Mytilus edulis: one gene and its partners. The protein of the gene in region 1 interacts with the protein of each later gene in a biochemical or structural test. Links are inferred from orthologs where the notes say so. Each region holds a gene or a part of one and is shown in the gene's direction. Other genes may lie near its edges. The genes, in order: dual specificity mitogen-activated protein kinase kinase 4-like, mitogen-activated protein kinase kinase kinase 4-like and mitogen-activated protein kinase kinase kinase 1-like.

What was found.
Region 2: the proteins of dual specificity mitogen-activated protein kinase kinase 4-like (region 1) and mitogen-activated protein kinase kinase kinase 4-like form a complex in vitro, tested with the Homo sapiens proteins (2 studies listed by BioGRID, with this or other methods). The link is inferred for Mytilus edulis from reciprocal best matches to the Homo sapiens genes MAP2K4 and MAP3K4.
Region 3: of the proteins of dual specificity mitogen-activated protein kinase kinase 4-like (region 1) and mitogen-activated protein kinase kinase kinase 1-like, one has a biochemical effect on the other in vitro, tested with the Homo sapiens proteins (7 studies listed by BioGRID and IntAct, with this or other methods). The link is inferred for Mytilus edulis from reciprocal best matches to the Homo sapiens genes MAP2K4 and MAP3K1.

What each region holds. Positions count from the first base shown.
Region 1 is NC_092352.1:46,581,264-46,588,549, forward strand, and holds the start of dual specificity mitogen-activated protein kinase kinase 4-like, read left to right. Parts: upstream 1-4,182; 5' UTR 4,183-4,407; coding exon 4,408-4,456; intron 4,457-7,243; coding exon 7,244-7,286. UniProt on the Homo sapiens protein: Dual specificity protein kinase which acts as an essential component of the MAP kinase signal transduction pathway. Essential component of the stress-activated protein kinase/c-Jun N-terminal kinase (SAP/JNK) signaling pathway.
Region 2 is NC_092353.1:29,922,511-29,930,156, reverse strand, and holds the start of mitogen-activated protein kinase kinase kinase 4-like, read left to right. Parts: upstream 1-4,558; 5' UTR 4,559-4,582; coding exon 4,583-4,656; intron 4,657-6,770; coding exon 6,771-7,610; intron 7,611-7,646. UniProt on the Homo sapiens protein: Component of a protein kinase signal transduction cascade. Activates the CSBP2, P38 and JNK MAPK pathways, but not the ERK pathway. Specifically phosphorylates and activates MAP2K4 and MAP2K6.
Region 3 is NC_092344.1:5,536,319-5,543,242, reverse strand, and holds the start of mitogen-activated protein kinase kinase kinase 1-like, read left to right. Parts: upstream 1-3,822; 5' UTR 3,823-4,173; coding exon 4,174-4,361; intron 4,362-5,904; coding exon 5,905-5,967; intron 5,968-6,924. UniProt on the Homo sapiens protein: Component of a protein kinase signal transduction cascade. Activates the ERK and JNK kinase pathways by phosphorylation of MAP2K1 and MAP2K4. May phosphorylate the MAPK8/JNK1 kinase.

The sequences.
Region 1 (7,286 bases):
AACAATTCACTTAGTTTCATGGACAGTGGTGAAAGCCTTTTTGAGTTATTGTCCGAAGTGTTGAAAATCCCCCTTTTTTATGAATAAAGCCCCATAAATCCAAAACTTAAAATCTGAAATTGATAAAAATTGAAAGGGAGCTTACATTAATAGATATAAACAATTCACCAAAGTTTCATGGACATTGGTGAAAGCCTTTTTGAGTTATTGTCCGAAGTGTTGAAAATCCCCCTTTTTTTATGAATAAAGCCCCATAAATCCAAAACTTAAAATCTGAAATTAAAAAAAACCGAAAGGGAGCTTACGTCAATAGATATAAACAATTTACTTAAGTTTCATGGACATTGGTGAAAGCCTTTTTGAGTTATTGTCCGAAGTGTTGAAAATCCACCCTTTTTTATGAATAAAGCCCCATAAATCCAAAACTTAAAATCTGAAATTAAAAAAAAAACGAAAGGGAGCTTACATCAATAGATATAAACAATTACTTAAGTTTCATGGACATTGGTGAAAGCCTTTTTGAGTTATTGTCCGAAGTGTTGAAAATCCCCCCTTTTTTTATGAATAAAGCCCCATAAATCCAAAACTAAAAATCTGAAATTTATAAAAATTGAAAGGGAGCTTACATTAATAGATATAAACAATTCACCAAAGTTTCATGGACATTGGTGAAAGCCTTTTTGAGTTATTGTCCGAAGTGTTGAAAATCCCCCCTTTTTTTATGAATAAAGCCCCATAAATCCAAAACTTAAAATCTGAAATTAAAAAAAAACGAAAGGGAGCTTACGTCAATAGATATAAACAATTTACTTAAGTTTCATGGACATTGGTGAAAGCCTTTTTGAGTTATTGTCCGAAGTGTTGAAAATCCCCCTTTTTTTATGAATAAAGCCCCATAAATCCAAAACTTAAAATCTGAAATTTAAAAAAAAACGAAAGGGAGCTTACGTCAATAGATATAAACAAGTCACTTAAGGTTCATGGACAGTGGTGAAAGCCTTTTTGAGTTATTGTCCGAAGTGTTGAAAATCCCCCTTTTTTTTATGAATAAAGCCCCATAAATCCAAAACTTAAAATCTGAAATTTAAAAAAAAAACGAAAGGGAGCTTACGTCAATAGATATAAACAAGTCACTTAAGGTTCATGGACAGTGGTGAAAGCCTTTTTGAGTTATTGTCCGAAGTGTTGAAAATCCCCCTTTTTTTTATGAATAAAGCCCCATAAATCCAAAACTTAAAATCTGAAATTGATAAAAATTGAAAGGGAGCTTACATTAATAGATATAAACAATTCACTAAAGTTTCATGGCCATTGGTGAAAGCCTTTTTGAGTTATTGTCCGAAGTGTTGAAAATCCCCCTTTTTTTTATGAATAAAGCCCCATAAATCCAAAACTTAAAATCTGAAATTAAAAAAAAACGAAAGGGAGCTTACGTCAATAGATATAAACAATTTACTTAAGTTTCATGGACATTGGTGAAAGCCTTTTTGAGTTATTGTCCGAAGTGTTGAAAATCCACCCTTTTTTATTAATAAAGCCCCATAAATCCAAAACTTAAAATCTGAAATTAAAAAAAAACGAAAGGGAGCTTACGTCAATAGATATAAACAAGTCACTTAAGGTTCATGGACAGTGGTGAAAGCCTTTTTGAGTTATTGTCCGAAGTGTTGAAAATCCCCCTTTTTTTTATGAATAAAGCCCCATAAATCCAAAACTTAAAATCTGAAATTGATAAAAATTGAAAGGGAGCTTACATTAATAGATATAAACAATTCACTAAAGTTTCATGGCCATTGGTGAAAGCCTTTTTGAGTTATTGTCCGAAGTGTTGAAAATCCCCCCTTTTTTATGAATAAAGCCCCATAAATCCAAAACTTAAAATCTGAAATTAAAAAAAAACGAAAGGGAGCTTACGTCAATAGATATAAACAATTTACTTAAGTTTCATGGACATTGGTGAAAGCCTTTTTGAGTTATTGTCCGAAGTGTTGAAAATCCACCCTTTTTTATTAATAAAGCCCCATAAATCCAAAACTTAAAATCTGAAATTAAAAAAAAACGAAAGGGAGCTTACATCAATAGATATAAACAATTTACTTAAGTTTCATGGACATTGGTGAAAGCCTTTTTGAGTTATTGTCCGAAGTGTTGAAAATCCCCCCTTTTTTATGAATAAAGCCCCATAAATCCAAAACTTAAAATCTGAAATTTATAAAAATTGAAAGGGAGCTTACATCAATAGATATTAACAATTCAACAAAGTTTCATGGACATTGGTGAAAGCCTTTTTGAGTTATTGTCCGAAGTGTTGAAAATCCCCCTTTTTTATGAATAAAGCCCCATAAAGCTAAAACTTAAAATCTGAAATAAAAAAAAAAAACGAAAGGGAGCTTACGTCAATAGATATAAACAATTCACTTAAGTTTCATGGACAGTGGTGAAAGCCTTTTTGAGTTATTGTCCGAAGTGTTGAATATCCCCCTTTTTTATGAATAAAGCCCCATAAATCCAAAACTTAAAATCTGAAATTAAAAAAAAAACGAAAGGGAGCTTACATCAATAGATATAAACAATTCACTTAAGTTTCATGGAAATTGGTGAAAGCCTTTTTGAGTTATTTCCAAAACTTAAAATCTGAAATTGATAAAAATTGAAAGGGAGCTTACATTAATAGATATAAACAATTTACCAAAGTTTCATGGACATTGGTGAAAGCCTTTTTGAGTTATTGTCCGAAGTGTTGAAAATCCCCCTTTTTTTATGAATAAAGCCCCATAAATCCAAAACTTAAAATCTGAAATTAAAAAAAAACCGAAAGGGAGCTTACGTCAATAGATATAAACAATTTACTTAAGTTTCATGGACATTGGTGAAAGCCTTTTTGAGTTATTGTCCGAAGTGTTGAAAATCCCCCCTTTTTTATGAATGAAGCCCCATAAATCCAAAACTTAAAATCTGAAATTAAAAAAAAACCGAAAGGGAGCTTACATCAATAGATATAAACAATTACTTAAGTTTCATGGAAATTGGTGAAAGTGTTTTTGAGTTATTGTCCGAAGTGTGGACGACGCGGGACGGACGGACGGACAACGGTATACCATAATACGTCCCGTCTAAAAGACGACGGGTGTATAAAAACTATAACAGATAGTTAGAAACTGCAATTAGAAACAAATTATCAGCCCCACTCCAAAACTGCCAATTAAAAAAATGTTAGTGCCCGAAAATGACGATGTTTGTCTAATTTTAATGTTTCTTTTAAAATTAGGTCGAAAACAATAATAGATAAAAACTGTAAACTGCAAAGACGAGGAGTGATGTTTTTTAAATGAAGACTTGAGTATAGTTTTCGTTTATGGTCAGTAACTGTTGTCTCGGACACAGGTGCTTGGGTATATGAAACAGATAAAAAAAAATGTTGAGTAAAATATTCAAGAGAAAATACCCAATTTTACTATCCATATAAGAAGCAAATTGGGTATTTTCTCTGAGTCGTTTTAATCACTCGAAACTAGCTGAGACATGCACGAAAGTGATAGATATGTATTATAGATAAAGAAAATTTAATATTTTAATCAACAAAAAAAAAAAACAAAAAAAAAACTCTGTATCATATACCCAAGCGCCTGTGGTCTCGGACACTGTACTAGATAGTAAGAAATTGTAAACAACTAAAATGGTCACCGGATAAGTACAAAGTTAAAAAATATGACCAAACCCAATGGATGACTATATAAGGATGTTTTGCTCTTAAAACGTTTGTTGAATTCTCGTGTTTTTTTTTTAATTCTATATCCGGAAACTATAATGGATGGTCAATTCTGTCAATTGTTTCAAATTGAAAATAAATCAGAAATATAAGATCTACAATATGCGGCAATGCCAAAGGCCATTTGGAAGCTTTTTCAGGGATTTTTGTACTAATCTTAATTACAATTTTGCCAATTATATCAAACTTTATGAAGGAAGAAATCATAATAAGTAAAATGATCATAAATACAAAATTAACAAAAAAACATGTCACAAGCTATAGGACCATTTGCATATTGTCGTTATTACCAGGCCTAAAAAGGAATTAATTTTCCATCCTTCGATTTAATTGATAGCCTACGAGAGGTAACTCTTGTGGATTAACGGAAAATACCGAAAACGTGCGATTGTAGCAGGTGCCCGCTGTTCGGCAGTTCTCGTCAAGACTTTGACGTCACAGGGATTTTCCCAAGAAGACTACGAGTAGATGAGTCATCGCAGAGAAATGAACATCGCTACCCAATCACATTTCCTCTAAGCCCACGATATCTGCTACCTGTTTTACTGTGTTTTTAAGATCACCAGGAATTGGTTTCATGAAAAACACAACTACCATACTGGCAAATACAACCATCAAAATATTAGCCGTTTTTCAAAATGGCGGACCCAGAAAATCCGAATCCAAAAAAGCCGAATGACAACCAAGGTAGCGTACTTGTGGAAATCCATGTTGGTTTTATTTTAGGATGTATGAGTCATACATAAGTGTATGTTTTTACTGTTTAATCATTCACAGAGTAAATGACATTTCAATAAAGAGTAATTATCGACAAACTCTCTTAATGTCAACACAATAACGCAATACATTTCTGATTTAAATAATGTAGTTTGTTGTGGAGTGACACCTCTGACACCTTGATCAATAACATGCTCATGTTTGTTTACCTGTTAAGTAAAGCCATGATAAATTATAAAAAAATAGATATTTAATTTCTTCCTCATGTAAAGAAGATTTTTAGAAAATGAAATGTTATGAGAATTTGACCTATAACTACTATGTAGAAAATCTTAAAATTGTGAATTTTCTAGATTTTGTATAAAGAAAGTGTCAGAGGGTTTCCAATTAAGCAAAATCTCTCTCAGTACATGTGACAATATGTTAAAATTGCTTTCAAAAGTCAAGTATATTGATTTTACCATTTAATCAGTTAAAAAACAGCATTGGAATAAACTTTCGAAGGCGAAAGTAAACACTTCTGTTAAAGGCATTCAAATGATGTGGCATGAAATTTTGACTCAAAATTCAGCCACCACCCTTCTCTTACACGTCGTGAACATATATATCCTCTTCAAGTTCAGTTAAAAGATTGACCTGAATTTGTATCCATTACGAGGGCATTTTGACATGCAAACTTTAAACCAAATCATATAACGTAGGTCTTACGATTTCTGATGAAAACACAATTGTGAAAGTAAAGAAGGAGTATGATTTGCCTAATAGACAATTATCCACTAATGGCTGAAGGAAAGTCATGTCCCTCGTTTGATAATGAGCAAATCTAATACTTTATTATCAGCTATAAAATACATCTGATTGACAAAATATGAAACAATTCAAATGAGAAAATCAACTGCCTGTTTTATAGGTCATCAATTATGACAGACAGCAACCAACACAAACCCCTGGCTCACAGGCTCCTTGCATGGAACTGGCACATAAAATGTTAAAGAAAATCGTTTGGTCAATAATGTTTGTGACTGCTTCCCTGGCTATTGTGACACAAGTGGCAAATCTTCATATTTAATAGCAATAAAAACTTGTCTGAAGTTTACGTTTTTATTTTATTCTTTAACACCATGGACACATTTTTATGCCTCACCTACGATAGTAGAGGGGCATTATGTTTTCTGGTCTGTGCGTCCGTTCGTTTGTCCGTTCGTCCGTCTGTCCCGCTTCAGGTTAAAGTTTTTGGTCGAGGTAGTTTTTGATGAAGTTGAAGTCCAATCGACTTCAAACTTGGTACACCTGTTCCCTATGATATGATCTTTCTAATTTTAATGCAAATTAGAGATTTTACCCCAATTTCACGGTCCACTGAACATAAAAAATGATAGTGCGAGTGGGGCATTCGTGTACTGAGGACACATTCTTGTTGCTAATGTTTTGGTCATGTTGATAATTTTTTGTCTCCAAAAATCAAATTCACTAATTTTAGACGTTAAAAAGGCGCATTTCAGGCAATCCCACTGTTCAACCAAATTCGTAAATTGTTAAACCAAAGAGGCAAAAGTTTGTAAATAACAAGACTATACAAATTCCTTTCACTGAACGATGTACATGTCCATTCCAACTGTTTTTATACATAAATCAGCATTTTATGTCCAAAAGGTATATATATTAGCCTGGCTTCAATTCTTCCAAACTCTTTTAAAATAAAATATTCCGATATTTCAAATTCTAGTTAAATCCGTAAATTTCATTTGATTTTGACACGGTTTTCAACAAACGGAGGTGTCATGTTTACACTTTCATCCAGGCATTCAACAAAGAAAGATAACTTGTGTTTGAAATGTTTTCAATGGCAAATATAAAGGAGATATTCCGATCCATAAACTCGTGGTCAGCTGTCAGAAGTGTTAATTCCAGTAAACAGGGATTTGTCGTCAAAAGTGTTTAAAAGAAAGATTTTGTATTCATTTGCTTTTCATAACTGCTATTTTTGAAACATTTCGGTTTCCTATCCTTTTTATTTGATAATGAAGGGGTCAAATGTTACAAATAATGGTGTTTAATTGTCTGTGTTTTGTGTTATCTGCTGACAAACTGTTATACGTTTGTATTGTTAATTCAAATAAAAAACATTTATCTATGGTCACAAAGTGTAGTAGTAACTGAATCAAGCATTATCATAATATATTATCATGATAATGGAACTAGAAGGACCTAGAAGCAGATGCTGTTAACTAATTTCAAATTTCATTTGTTTTGATGTTCAAAATCGGTCCTGAAATCCCAATATTGTGATCTGATTAAATTTGCTTTCTCAGTTTTTTACGATTTTTAAGACACAACAATTGAACTGATTCAACAAAACAGGATCTGAAAACCTTGTTCAAGGTTTCATCAGAAGTTTTAAAGAAATATAGGTTTTCAGAATGTAAATTTGTCCTTCTATGTGTATTTCAGTTAGAAAATATTGTGCTGTCCAGTGTTCTCCCCAGATATTTTATTTAGCATCCTGGTTAACAGGGGAAATTGAAATACCATCTTGTTTCTAGAAATTATAGCATCACATCCATAACACTATCTATAAGAAAACCATTTCAGATAGCATCACATTACCATGATGCTAAAAGGCCTTGGGGAGAACACTGCTGTCTACAAATTTTGGTTATTCCAGAAATCCCTTTTTGTATTGACTTAAGTTTATGATTGTTGTTACAAGTAGTGCTATGATATTAAAGATTAAAATGCTTTATTTTTCTACTTCAGAGAAATTGCGAGAGAGGCTTGAAATAAAATTTCCAAACCCTCA
Region 2 (7,646 bases), on another chromosome or scaffold:
AGCCATGGCGGCCATCTTGGATAGTTGGCCGCGTCACCGGACGCATTTTTAAAACTAGATACCCCAATGATGATTATGGCCAAGTTTGGTTTAATTTGGCCCAGTAGTTTCAGAGGAGAAGATTTTTGTAAAAGTTAACGACGGCGGACGACGGACGACGAACGCCGGACGCAAAGTGATGGGAAAAGCTCACTTGGCCGTTTGGGCCAGGTGAGCTAAAAAAAAACGGATGTCATCAATTTGCAATAGCTCACCAAACATCTTGTTTGTTTAAACATGTAACCCAATCATCGTCTTCAGGCGCGGATCCAGAGGGGGGGTTCCGGGGGTTGGAACCCCCCCTTTTTTTTTGACGATCAATGCATTTGAATGGGGACATGTAATTGGAACCCCCCTTTGTCCTGGGTTAGGAACCCCCCCCCCCTTTTTTAAAATGGCTGGATCCGCCCCTGGTCTTAATCATGACATACAGGGTAAATCCATGCGTCAGTCAACATTTTCGACAGTTTTGAAGGAAAATCTCATCCTAATACAACTGTGTATTAGATTTTACTTTAATGCACACTTACAATTTTTTATTATGTTCATTGCAATATTATAATTGGATTGTTCTTTAACATGTAATACATATATATTTTTTTTAAATATTCACGCAGTGCTTGTCGCTTTTATCAGTGACTTTTCATTTAGTAGTATAGTAACAGGGAATTTCTATACTAACATAGAAAGTCCCTGGTAGTTTTAAAGTAAGAAGTTTATTACAGTGTCACAATCTAACATTATACACAATATATTATACATAAGATAAAATCAGCATAAAAATATATTAGATTCCTGCCTAACAAGACATATGAGACACTTTTACCTCATGCTCATTAAATGCATACGCACTTTTCAAAATTAAAAAAAAATTAAAACTACAAAACAAATACTTCTTAGATCAACATTTTTTTCACAATGCTTTCAGATAGCCAGTTAAGATTATTGAATAAGGTTTTTCTGCATGATGTGTATTTTGGACAAACAAAGAAGTAATGGTAGACATCCTCAATATCTGACCCACAATGACAAGAAGGATCATTTATAATATAAATGAATGGGAACATCTCAATTGCGTTATTGGGCCGTACAAATGAAACGTTTCAATTTTATATAATCGTTTATCGTGTTTTTTTCAAATTTCCGTTATGCATTACTGCTCTCTGTTTTCTGTCGTGAAGATAGTCCTGAAACCAATTCAATAAGTTTCCGTCAATACTGTAAGCTTTCATTTTTCATATTATACGGCCCCTATGCCAGACTTTGTCGAAGTTAGATAGAAGTCACAAAATACAAAACAATTTAAAGACTGAAGATATACCACACAGAAAAAATATTAAAAAAAAAGACAGTACTCATAGAACATTTTCAATGGGATTATTATGGAGGAGAAGAGACATATGGATTTATTTTACTGTTTTACAACTTCTTAAAATATTTCTTTTCATACCCCCCCTCCCCCCCCCCCCCCGAAACCCACTGTTATGTCATACTTATAACACATTTATTGGTGACAGCTTTAGTGATTCAAATTTTACACCCGTCATACTTGGTAAGGTGATAGTTATTCTATTATTTTTATTCATTTGCTTGTTTAAGAAATTTTTCATGAAGCTTGATTGATGAAAAAAAATAAAAATTTTATCATGCAAAGGATATATCTGACGCCAATATGAAGCCATTTATAGATATCAAGCCACTTAGACATGTTATTTTTATAACAATTATTTGATTATTGATATCTATTGAATAATTTTCAGTAACAAAGAGTTACTTCATATATAATAAATCAAAAATTTTGTATTTTTCTAAATTAATTTTTCCTTGTTATTAGAAAAATAATTTCGAAAATAAATTGTGACTTTTTGTACTGTGACGATTTGTCCGTGACTTTTTGTCCTGTGACTTTCTGTCCTACATTCTTTATAACCTATCCTTTTCTCTTATTAAATGTAATTAAATTTCACTCAAACATTTTAAGAAATGTATCTTTATTTTTGGTGAAATTAATTATTGATATAGTATTTTTATATTATATCGACATTGCTTGAAAGATCGTCAATGTCGGATGACGAATTTATATCTTCTACTTAATTTTTTTCTACAAGTAACGGCTCAAAATGATACGGTCGAATATCTAAAGTTAGAGAGTTGCCTTGAAAACTGATGCTAACACTGTCCATTGTTTAATGATGCAGAAATATGATCGACTTCGTCCTCATTGAGACATTTTCTCGGCTTGTATCCACTGACGTCATCACGATCACGTGACCGGTATCTCATTAAAAATCAAAGATTACGACAAGCGCTGGATTCTTTGACCATTTAAAGGCCGTTAAATGATGTTTTGACAAGAAAAATTTATTACAATATATTTTTTTACCAATATTTATTAATTAATCAAAAAAAAAAAAAAAAAAAAAATTGTGTCACGTCTCCTTTAAAAGAACAAAAAAGTAGAATTGATATAAAATCTTAAATAATATGCTAATAAAAAAATAATTAAAAATTTAAGCTCTTTAAAAGTTATGAATTTATCTTTCTCCCCTTAAACATCAAATGCAATGTTTTAGCTGAATAATTATCATAGTTACTGATACGGAATATGTTCTGCACGTTGTTGAAGGTCGTTCATTGACCTACACTTGCTTATATATCACATCCACGTCATCTGGTCTCTGGTGGATAGTTTTCTTATTGGAAATCTTACTAAAGATCTAAATATAGCTGTTGACGACTATAACAACTTGTATCAGTCCGGCGTCCGTTGTTCCAATGTACATATATAGATAGGCACTGGGTCGTTATGAGAAACGATACTGTACACAATAAATAAATAAAATATATAACTAAACGGGGTGTACAAAACAACACCAATAATAAAAAAGGAAACAGTAAATATAAGACAAGGCAGTCGAAAAGGATATAGACCAGACAGGATATCATAACAATATAGTACTTCTGATACTGCACTTATAGTACAGAAAATAGCATTAAACAGGATAACTATAGATGAAGCTAAAATGACGAAGAATACTGAAAAAGCAGTCAGTAAAAAATCACAGGAAAATACAGTCAGTACTTTCAAGCATTACAAATTACTGATATTGAAGAACAAAAAAACAATACCATGCTTGCTACAGTAAATATGATAACTAAAAAATTGACAAGAATTAATATTACTTTAGAACACTTAATATTAGCTGGGTCAAATAGATAAATTAAAGTTATCATTACATATTTTCATCTTATGTTGTTCTATATTCATCACAATCTTTTTTGGGACTGTTATTTTTTTGTTATAAACGGATAATTATTCCTCTGATAACATGGATAAATTAACAAAAATACTTGATTTTATCATCTTGATTCCGAATAAAAAGAAACACGTGAAAGGGGCATTAGCTGTCAAATTCATGTTCAACGATTTGAGTCAAATTATCATATTTGATTAATAACATACCCGTATGTCCAAGTTTTAAAAAGTCTAAAATTAAATAAACATATTACGATGATTGGTCTGGTTAATATTTATCAGATTTTCGTATACATGTATTCTAGTTCAGACGCCATGTTGTCAAGCATCGAGATGGCATAAGAAGACTGCCAATTTAACGGTCATATAACCAGATAGAAACATAAATATCTAAATAGAAATAGATAGAAATTGAATTTTTCTTGATCTGTTTGTTTAATTTGTAAAAGATATGTTAATCATCGTTTTTTATATGTATAATAATGAATTTTTGTTTGTCGATGCAGTGAATCGAAATGTTTATTCATGTTTATTCATGTTACACTTTCCTGTTTCTTTTTTATAAACTGAACACGTCTACTGATTCATGCATCTGTTAGCCTGATAAAGGGTTAAATTGTTATGTGAATACGGATTCAATGATTTCGAATTATTCACTTGCAAGTGAATATATCATCACTGAGCCATGTTTTTTTTGTTTATTTTGACAACATTGGACCAAACTAGCGTAACAGCGATATTTTTATTTCACTGACTAATTCACTTTCATAAATATTGAACAAACATATACAGTCATCTTTATTTTCATGAATACAACATGTACAATATGATGTTTTGTGATGACAATTCCTCTCTTTAAGTTCGGTATGAAATGGCTCTTTATTTTATATAAATCTATAGTTTACAATTAAGTAAAAAAAAAAAATGCATGAGACCAAGGACTTGATGACTTGCACAAGCACTTGTCTCAGAATTTTTTTATTTTTTTTTATACCTTAAAATAAGAGATAAAAAATTCTGAGATTTATGTGCTTGTGGTGATTTGTAAATCATTGATGGTGAGACTTTAATAAATATTGCATCAAAAACAGGTTTAGGAACACTAAAACGCTAATCGATCTATGTTTTTGTTAAATTTGTATTCAACCAATGCCAAAATTTCATTTTTGAAATGTTGGCATAGATGAATGAACCCCAAAAATTGTTTACATAAAAACACAGCAAATGGGTAAATCCCTTGTGTTGCTAAAAATAGAAATCACGCGTGACTTTCCGTGATAATCTGTCATGGCGGCTGATGGGACAAAGTATCCCAGGTCAGCATCGCCAAATGAGGATTACAACCCTTTGCACGACGAGACGTAAGTGCATTGCTAGTATGCAACCTCTCATAATGATAGTTGAAGCATTTGAATATTTATTTTTGCACATCTTTGAGAATTTTTCATGAATTCGAATGCTTAAATCGTCTGTTTTACCACATTCCTGAACTGAGAAACGGGCCAGAAATACTACGTATTCTCGTATACTATGTACGGCATAATGGAATCGTAATCAAAACATGCATTATCACAATGAATATATAACCACTTTGTTATCAATGAAGTATACTTAATTTGTTAATTAAACGCAAACAATAGCAACAGACATAAAAAATACATATACATCTGACAGTGCTCTTAAGATTTTTTGCGTATGGTCTATTCTTAAACTTGAGGGTCCCAACCCATATAGAGCTACAAATGTATACTAAACTATCCTTAACTCCAAACCTTACCCTACCCATACCTGCCAACTGTCACTATTTGCGGGGTATTTCCCCCATGGAGGCTCTCAAATAATAATTTTAAAAGAGCAATTGTGGCCACAATTTAAACAAAACAATTAATTTTACAATGGCTATATAGGCTTGTAAAAGTATAAAGAAGACAAAAAAAACAACATTAAAATATATTTGAAGGCCCCATTAAAGGTTTTGTAGGACTATGAGAGCCATCTTGCAAACAAAACCCCCATGGGCATTTTGAAAAGTTGGCAGGTATGCCTACACCATACCTAAACCTAACACTAGCTCTAAACCCTAAAACCTAACCCTTAGTTCTAACCTAGAACATTCTGTAACCTAACAATAACCAAGAACAAACCATAGCTCTGAATATAGTGACCCTTAAAGTAAAAGAAGGCCAAACGTTGATGAGAATTTCACACCTTCATGCAGTCGCCACTTACAGTCTTTTCTGGAACTGTTGGACTGGAAAAACAAAAATCAGGTAGTCCACGGAATTCCTATTGGTGGTCGTGATGATGTCTGACTACCAACTGAGTGAAAGCAGGAACATATATCATGTGTATATTGACTGGACTTGACATTACTTATTGTAGCTAATTTCATCGTCAGGTCATATAAAGTTAATAAAAACACAATACGGAAATGGACATGTGTTCAAAACATATTCGTTATTAAACTTATACATGTTTTAATTTCTGATAAATATCAATAAAATGTCATTAAAATTAATTAAGTGTTACAGTGCTGCAAGTGTATATGTATCTAACTTGTAATCTTTCACTTAAAATTTGTTATAAACCCATTCATTTCATCACAGAATGCAAACAGGATATAAAAAAATGATGTGGATTGCATTCTCACATTCGCAAAAGCGTATCATTTCCAGTGTCATATATGGGTAAAACTTTCCTGTTGACTGTGTGAAAATCTGATGAGCTAAAAATGTAGCATATTAAAATATCTGACACATGGTAGTTTCAAAGATGAAAGGAGTAATCCACAAGCATTTAGCAAATTTATGAAAGTACATGCACATTGTATGTACTTAATAAGCAACAAGTATACTAAGTTTCAAGTTGATTAGACTTCAGCTTCATCAAAAACTACCTTGACCAAAAACTTTAACCTGGACGGACGAACTGAACCACAGACGGACGGACGAACCGAGCCACAGACCAGAAAAAATAATGCCCCTCTACTATCGTAGGTGGGGCATAAAAATCCTGGGGACAAGATCTTGAATGGTTAATCCATCAGTTGATCCATCATCAAAGATGGCTGCCAGGGGGGACAACAGTTAATACAGGATTTTATGGACAATAATTTTTTACATGATTTCCAAAACCAATGTACATGAAGTCATGGAAGTAGAATCAGGTGAGTGAGGGGCTCTTGAGAGCTTTTAGCAATGTTTAGTCTAAACAATGGATAACACCGAAACCAATTCTTAGGTGGGATGTTGACATGTTTATATGACATGATGACCTTTAAAAAGTTTAAATTTCTGAGCACATCCATTAAGTCCTTGTTTTATTGGCACTTTTTCAATATGTCTTTTTACGATGTGAGGTTTGATAACTAAATATATTTGAATTATGTTAGGACTTCTACAATTGTTTACATACATTTTTTTACACCTGTATATGAATGTACAATAATAAATGATCTGTTGTATTTATTTTTTAGTGAAACTAAATTTTTCCACCAACAAAGTCATGATGCAGACATTAGTGAAGAAGAATTTGAAGATCAGTTCAATTCTGTTGAATCTCTACCAGACAATATGTATTCCAATATGGTGTATGGCACAACACCACCCGCCAATCCAAGGGGTGCAAAACTTGAAAAAAGCAAAAAACACTCTAATCAAAGGAAAATGTCATACAAGGAGTATATGGCTACTAAAAAGAAACCTCAGCCAAAAACTCCAGTCAACATTATAAAAGATCAGTATGCAGACAATCCGGTATTTTGTAAACTCAGTGGAGTTGATTCCGATGACAACCTTGAAAGGGATTTCTCACAAGATTCAGAAAAGTTGAACAAAGATAATCGAAGCACCAAGAAAAAAATTCTGAAAACTTCAAGGAGTTATGATAGACATTTGAAGGCTACTTCTGGTGACTTGTCAAATCTAGATACAAATACAGCAGATGTTTCTTTGACAACGTCTGGTAGATTTTCATCGACCAACCCTCCAAGGATTGACTTGTCGGGAAGGTTTTCTTCCTTAATAAATCGACCATCGCCTCTGACAATAACTTTGACAAATTCGCTAAACTTATCCAGTAGCTTGAACAGTTCTTGGGGTCCATCAAAGCCTGATAGCAGAAGATTATCTGTAGTCTGTCCAGATTGTCCAAAGGACAGAAGTGATTTCTACAAAATCTTCTCTGCTCTTATTCAGATGGGCTCTCAACCTAAGAAGGAGAAAGATCATAACAGAAAAGATAAATTTGGAGCATATCGTCGACAAATAAGCTCTGAACAAGAACTGTGGCAACAGCATTTTGTGGATTATCTCTGGTTAGTAGAAATGTTACATGTATGTCTATTCAAGTG
Region 3 (6,924 bases), on another chromosome or scaffold:
TATATAGGTATGTTTACAATTTCAGGTGGTGTTGCTATGTAGACTAATTTCTAGAGGATAATTTTATCAGATCAGAGGCGGATTTAAAGGTTTTTTTGGGGGGCCTGCCCCCCTCCTCCACTTTTTCTGGGAAAAATTTGGTTGATTATATAGGGAATCAATGAAGCATGACTAGAGCGACCCCCCTCTTAAGCAGTCAGTTGGCCCCCACTTAATAAATTTTCTGGATCCCCCACTGCAGATCCAAATTAAAGATTCTTACAGCCTCTGTAGATGTTATAGTTTCATTGTCTCAAATGTTGTTGGCTTGGCAGTGGTAGATGTTTCATAACAAATTTACTCTAAGAAATAATTGAAAGACAGGCATGTTAGTTTTGCACAGATCAAAATGAAAGTTAATAGACCACTTTAGAAAAAGTTTTTAGTGTATGTGTGCCTTTATGACTTTTATCTAAAATAAAGCAGTTCTGTATGTTTTCCCTAACAACAGCTAGCAGTGCTGATTATTAATCATAAGAATTTAGTTTGCCGATAAATTCCTGCAATATAGCATAAAAAAAAATCATATTTTTCAACTGCCCAATATCGGAAGGAAGTGACAATGCACCTAAACGCACAAATGATGTTCTTTACCTCTTTTTTTTTTTTACCTTTTAGGGTCTTTTTAAGAAAGTAAGTCCTTATGAAGATATATTTAACCTAGCGTTTCCATATTAATCTCACCTTCAGGTACATGTGCACCAATCTTACTCCTAATTACCCAGTATATAATTGCTATTTTCTTATTGGCCATGTACCACTTGGGACATGTAATAAAAGTCGTTTTAGACATATTATAGTTGTATATATACTTTCATTTATATACCTTTTATAACTTTAAAAATAATTGTATTGCACTTTTATAGTAATGGTGTAAAAAAAATTCGTTTGTTGCTGTGTTACAAAAATGTTTTCCATTCATTATTTTGTACTTAAATAAGGCTGTTAGTTTTCTCGTTTGAATTGTTTTACATTTGTAATTTAGGGGCCTTGCATAGCTGACTATGTAGAATGGGATTTGCTCATTGTTGAAGGCTGTACGGTGAAGTCTAGTTGTTTATTTCTGTGTCATTTGGTCTATTGTGGCGAGTTGTCTTGTTGGCAAATATACCACATCAAATCTTCTTTTTAAATGTAGATGAAATTTTTAAAAAATGATTTATTTTATGGTTTTTAACCATAATAAACATTTTATCCATTTTAAGGTTATATTTATATAAAAAAAAAAGGAGACCGAAAATCTATATGGTCACATGTACAATAGAATAAGAGATATTTTATGATGTCGGTACCAGTATTTAGATGACTTCCACATGATCTTTACAAATGTGGACAGTCTTGTTTAGAAATGATTTAATGGAATAACAAGTTGATTGGTTTATTATGACACACACACATTTGTCAATCACTTAGACATTACTTTTATCACTGAGCTAATCATGTAATATAACTGTGGTGGAATCAATCATCTAAATAATATATTTATTTTAAAAAAAATATTCTTTTCAATTCCAAGACAGCTTTATCATAAAATTTTGAAGCAAAACATCAACATTTTTTTTCAAAGCATTTTTTTATGGATCATTTGGCAAAACAGATGTGGAGGTATATATTTTCAATACTTAAAAATATAAGAAAATTTAATCTTTGCCTGTCTGTACTGACTGGACATTTTCTAAGTCTAATCATCATGATCATATACATTTTGTAGATGAAGATTGTGTGTATATATATATAGAAATATTTATTAAAGTCATATGAAACGAGTGACCAATGAAAAATAATGTTTATCCAATTCTTGAACCAATGCATGTATATTCATAAACGTAGTCTTCTGTGCACGATTTTATCTTTTTTTACTCAACCATATTATCGCATAATCGTCATTTTTTTTTTCTCTCTGTCTGTTATGAAGTGAAAATATGGCAGCTACTTAAATGTCGTGTTTTGAAGCTGAAGTTTGCCAATTGTCACCTTATTGTAAACAATAAAAAAAGCATCGATATTTAGCACGTGTATAACATGTACAATCAGATAATAGTTTATTTTAATGACAGATCCATGCATATTGCGATCACCGGATTTTTACGAGAAGGGTCACGCTGAGGTCATATTGTATACGGAAAATATGTGGGCGAATTGCTTCCTGGAAGCAAGGAATTAAAATAAAGTAAACTTCTTCTAAATATGGACAGATTAAAGAATTTTCTTCAGAAAAAAATATATGTACATAAGTTTTATAATGAAAACTATCCATTTAGTTATAAAAAACATATTCATCATTTTTTTTAATTTGAGGTATCATATGACTTTAAAACATCTTATTTTTTTTCTCCAAAACTTTAATAAGAACTGATAACAAAAAGGCATAATTGACTGGAATCGGGTCTGTTCGCCCTGATTACATGTTTGCCCTTGGTCCGGTCGCCCTGAGTTCGTTCGCCCATAGAGTCTGTTCGCCCTGCATACTTTTATTTCAAAATATTAATTTTAAGCCTTTAAGGGCATAAAGTTTACTAAAACTTATTCAGATATTTGTATGGTATAAATTCTCGACATTCATGAAAAAACATGGAAATATTTAAAAGTTGATGGCTTATTTGGGAGCATTAATTGTTCAATGATATAATAATAATTCTCACTGCTTGTTTAATGTCTTTCAAACTTATCTTTGTTGGATAAATAATAAAAATAACGTTTTGTTTTGATAAATTTGTCAGCTTGAAATGACTGTAAAGCAGTCATTTATGAATTGTAAAACATAGAAAGAATTTACAAGTTCATTTATTCCTATATTATACTGCATAAATTGACTTGATAGAATTATTTAAACTGTAACAGTTATAACACATATCAATAAAGATAAATACATTGTATTCAAGTATTCTACTACATTTGTATGCAAATAAAACGGAAACTGATTATTTGGTTGCAGTAATACAAATATTGAGCGAATTTGTCATCAATATTTATCATACTCTGTACAAATAATGAACATTATGCAAGTAGACAATAATAATAAAATAAAAAAATCAGGGCAAATGGACCCTGGGCGAACAGGTATCAGGGCGAATAGGTACCAGGGCGAACGTGAATCAGGGCAGACGGACCCTGATTCTAATGGACTGTAATGACCAAGGCCAAGTGGTGATAGGCCAAAACAACACATGGACTTTAACATATCTGAAGCCCCAAACATCATGAACATCACACATAAATTTGCTTCATGAAAAAATTCTTCTTCTTTATACATGTATTTACGGAATGCCATCAACTTTTTGGGAATTACTTTCCGGTATTACTGAAGCAACAGCCCTGGTATCCAGACAATTTGCTGTTAAATGATCATGCAATTCTCTCAAGTCTACACTAGTCACTCATGAGCCATAAGTCTATAAGTGCAAAATTATATCCTATTTATTTTTTTAGGGGAGGTCACTGATTTTAATTAATTTTAGAGGGGAAAATTCTGACTGCAATTATTTGTCTGCAGTGATATGATATCATATATATTTTATAGGATGATCCTCGGGTGTTAAAGGGTCTTGCACATTGACATTTAATGTTACCCTACCATTTAACAATGTGCTTGACGTTGTCAACAACAACTACCAAGTTGATCGTTTTCTCCTTTTCGTAATCAATTATTATGTAGCATGAAAAGGGAAATAACTAGCCAAGCACCTGTCCTCCTTTCGAAATTTCTAGACTGATCCTTTCTTCAGAAGCTAATTTTCGAAAATTCCGAGAATTTACATAGATCAGGCAGACGTTTTTACATACGTGATGATTCACCTGCTATTGAGCTTGTAAGAGACATCATTGTAAATAAAATTGGAAATGAACTAAGAAAGTTGGTTTGTAAACAAAATGAGGTGGTAAAAACAAGGGTATTCCTACCGGAAATAGCTGTGCTAGATAAATAATAAACCGCATACCAAAATAAGATAACATTTTGAATTGAATGCCATCGAAATGTAACTACAGAAACGTTTGCAAATACATCTTTTGTTGTATTTGGCGCTTGTTTATTTATAATTTGTCTGCATGTCGTCAATAATTTAGTTAGAATTACAATGAAATGAATGGTGAAAGCAGTCTTTGAGCTTTATGTGACATGATACTCCGTGAAATATGGAATCAGCTACATTAGCAAATGATGACGCTGAAACAAGTAAGCAGTCACAGACAAATGGTTTTTTCTTCGAGGATACAGATTTTAAACCAAATTGTATAGATTCTGAGGAATATCTTGGACCTCATGATTGGAGAAAGATTCTGAGACCAATCGAAGATGGAAATTTAAAGTCACAATCAGCAAGGTTATAATTGTATTTTATAAAAGTAATATTTAAATATGACTGCACAGATGTATAATGTAGTTTTACCAACATTTTCATGTTTCAATGGGCTGTCTCAAACTATAAAAAAGTTTTAAAGCTTGACTTATAGATGAATATTAGTATACAGAAATCATAAGCTACATGTATATTTGTAGCAGTCAGATGTTACATGTCTGTTTAAAACAACTGCACAAGCTCTTCAGATAAGTTGCATCCAATGGGGATTGCACTTCAATTGTTTGACAAATTAAATAATCATAAGCAACACAATATTTATTCTTTATCGCTCAACCAAGTGTAAATGTCAAGTTTTGATGAGGTGACTTCATTTTCCAATAAAAACCCTTGCATGGCTGGTTTGTAGTTTTCTTGTATGCAGGAAAGCTTTGTTAGGGATAAAATAATGATTAGAAACTCAAATAAAAAAATTCATTTCTAGATTTAAGTCAAGATACAAATGTATGCAGCAGACTTAGTTGTATTATTTGTATCTTACAAAAATGTAGCTACACCATCCTTTATTACAGGGTCAATTGGATAGATGCAATCAACAAACTTTGGTTTATCAATGAATATTAACAGAAATACATGTATATCTATATGCATTTAGCGAACATGAAGTTAAAGGTCAATAACTAGCTTTGTTAAATTCTTCTGGAACAGTCACTGAATTAAGTTTACCCAAAATGAATTAAGGAACACATGAGAAGTATTGAATCTTTTTTAAAACATACCATTTTCAATGTTAATTTAGAAATCAAGCATTTCTTATTGCTTATAATCAAACATGTACATGTAATGCATATTTACACGTGTAGATCATGAAAAAACTGCTATTTTTTAACATACATTTGTAATTGAATTAAATAACATGCAGCACACTTTTTTTTCTAAACATACATGTACATGTGTATATGTATCATGTACATTCCAATTAACAGCAATTTATATACATGAATATGTTTGCTCATCTACATCTACATGTAATTGGTTTTTATTTTGATGTTAAAGGCTAGTTCTGTTTTTTTCTTTCTATTGAAGTAGAAAGCAGACATATCTGTAAAATGCAAGATTCAGATTATATAACTGATTAAAATGGTTACGTCTCAAAATTATTGACAGAAGTCATTTTATATTCTTTTAATTGTTCTGAATATATTTACCACTTGAGTTGAATTTCACGAAAAATAAAATTAATGGATTTTTTTTTTTATCATTCAATATACAATTGTATATAATATGAATAAGGTGCATAATGCATGTATATTATGCATATAATTGCAGATTTCAAGAAAGGAATGACGCAATTCTGTAGTTGAGGAAAATACAATTTTTAGCATATTTGAGTGTGACAATGTTGAATTGTTATAGAAAACAAAACAGGCCCCACATGCACCATGTTACAGAATTTACATCATTTTCCCAAAATCTTTTATATCCATTCCAAACCTTGGAATAGATCATCCTCTTGGCTGTCTTAGTATCTTTGATTTTTACTGACAGTTTTATTTGTTATGTCTAGATGTGAAAGCAATGAAGACCAGAGGATAGCTACAAACTTAAGTGTGACAGAGTCAGAAAACAAGTATAGCTTTGAGTGTTTATGTTGTAGCACCCCAATACTCCTTCAGTCATCATATAATTACTTCACCATTTAACACATTGATTTTATAGAGACATGAATGTTCTTTTGAGTTGTAGAAATACATACAGTACCTATATAGATATGGAATTGATTTTTGAATCACATTTATAATGCAATGAATTGTAAATATAGTTGGTAAATGGCCATCACTTTTTTGCACATGTCATTTATTTGTACTACCTCCCTGCATGTTCACGACATTGTATAAAATTCATGACTGTCATTTTCTTTTAAAACCATATAAGTAAGTGTCAACTATCCAGATACTGAATGAAACTCTGAATATATTCTTCTTAAGTTTTGAAATTTCCCATGGAGTCTCGCAGGGAAGTCAAAAGTTCATCTTTGGCAATGTTTGGAGAACCAATTTCCCAATTTTGTTTTATATGATTTAGTGTCCATAAGCAACCTGATACTTATATCCAAATAGTCTATTATTAATTGTAATCATTTAGATAATGATCATAAGAATATTTGAAAAAAAGTATTTTCAATTTTTCTGAGAAAAGAAAAAAAAACTATGTAAAATATTTACAATGACAAATTTCCCATTAAATAGTTCTGGAGGTTTGAAAAGTTGACAGCCACTTGTATGTGAAAGAAAGTCTGTCAATAAATTATATTATATCTTCACATTTTTGTTAAAACAATTATCTGGTTTTCAGATTCATGTCATTCAAAATTCAGATATAATTAGGTTCTTATTTATTTCCTGTTTAAAAGTTCAATTTTGTACAGACCCTCTTGTTTCAATGACTGGGTATCTAAGATATTCAAAAGGGTAAACGACTTTCATCTCTTCACTGTGTTTCATTTGTATAGATACAAATCTTAGAACAATACTTGAAAATGGTCTTTAACTAAATAGATATCCACCTTTAATTTCATATTGTTTAT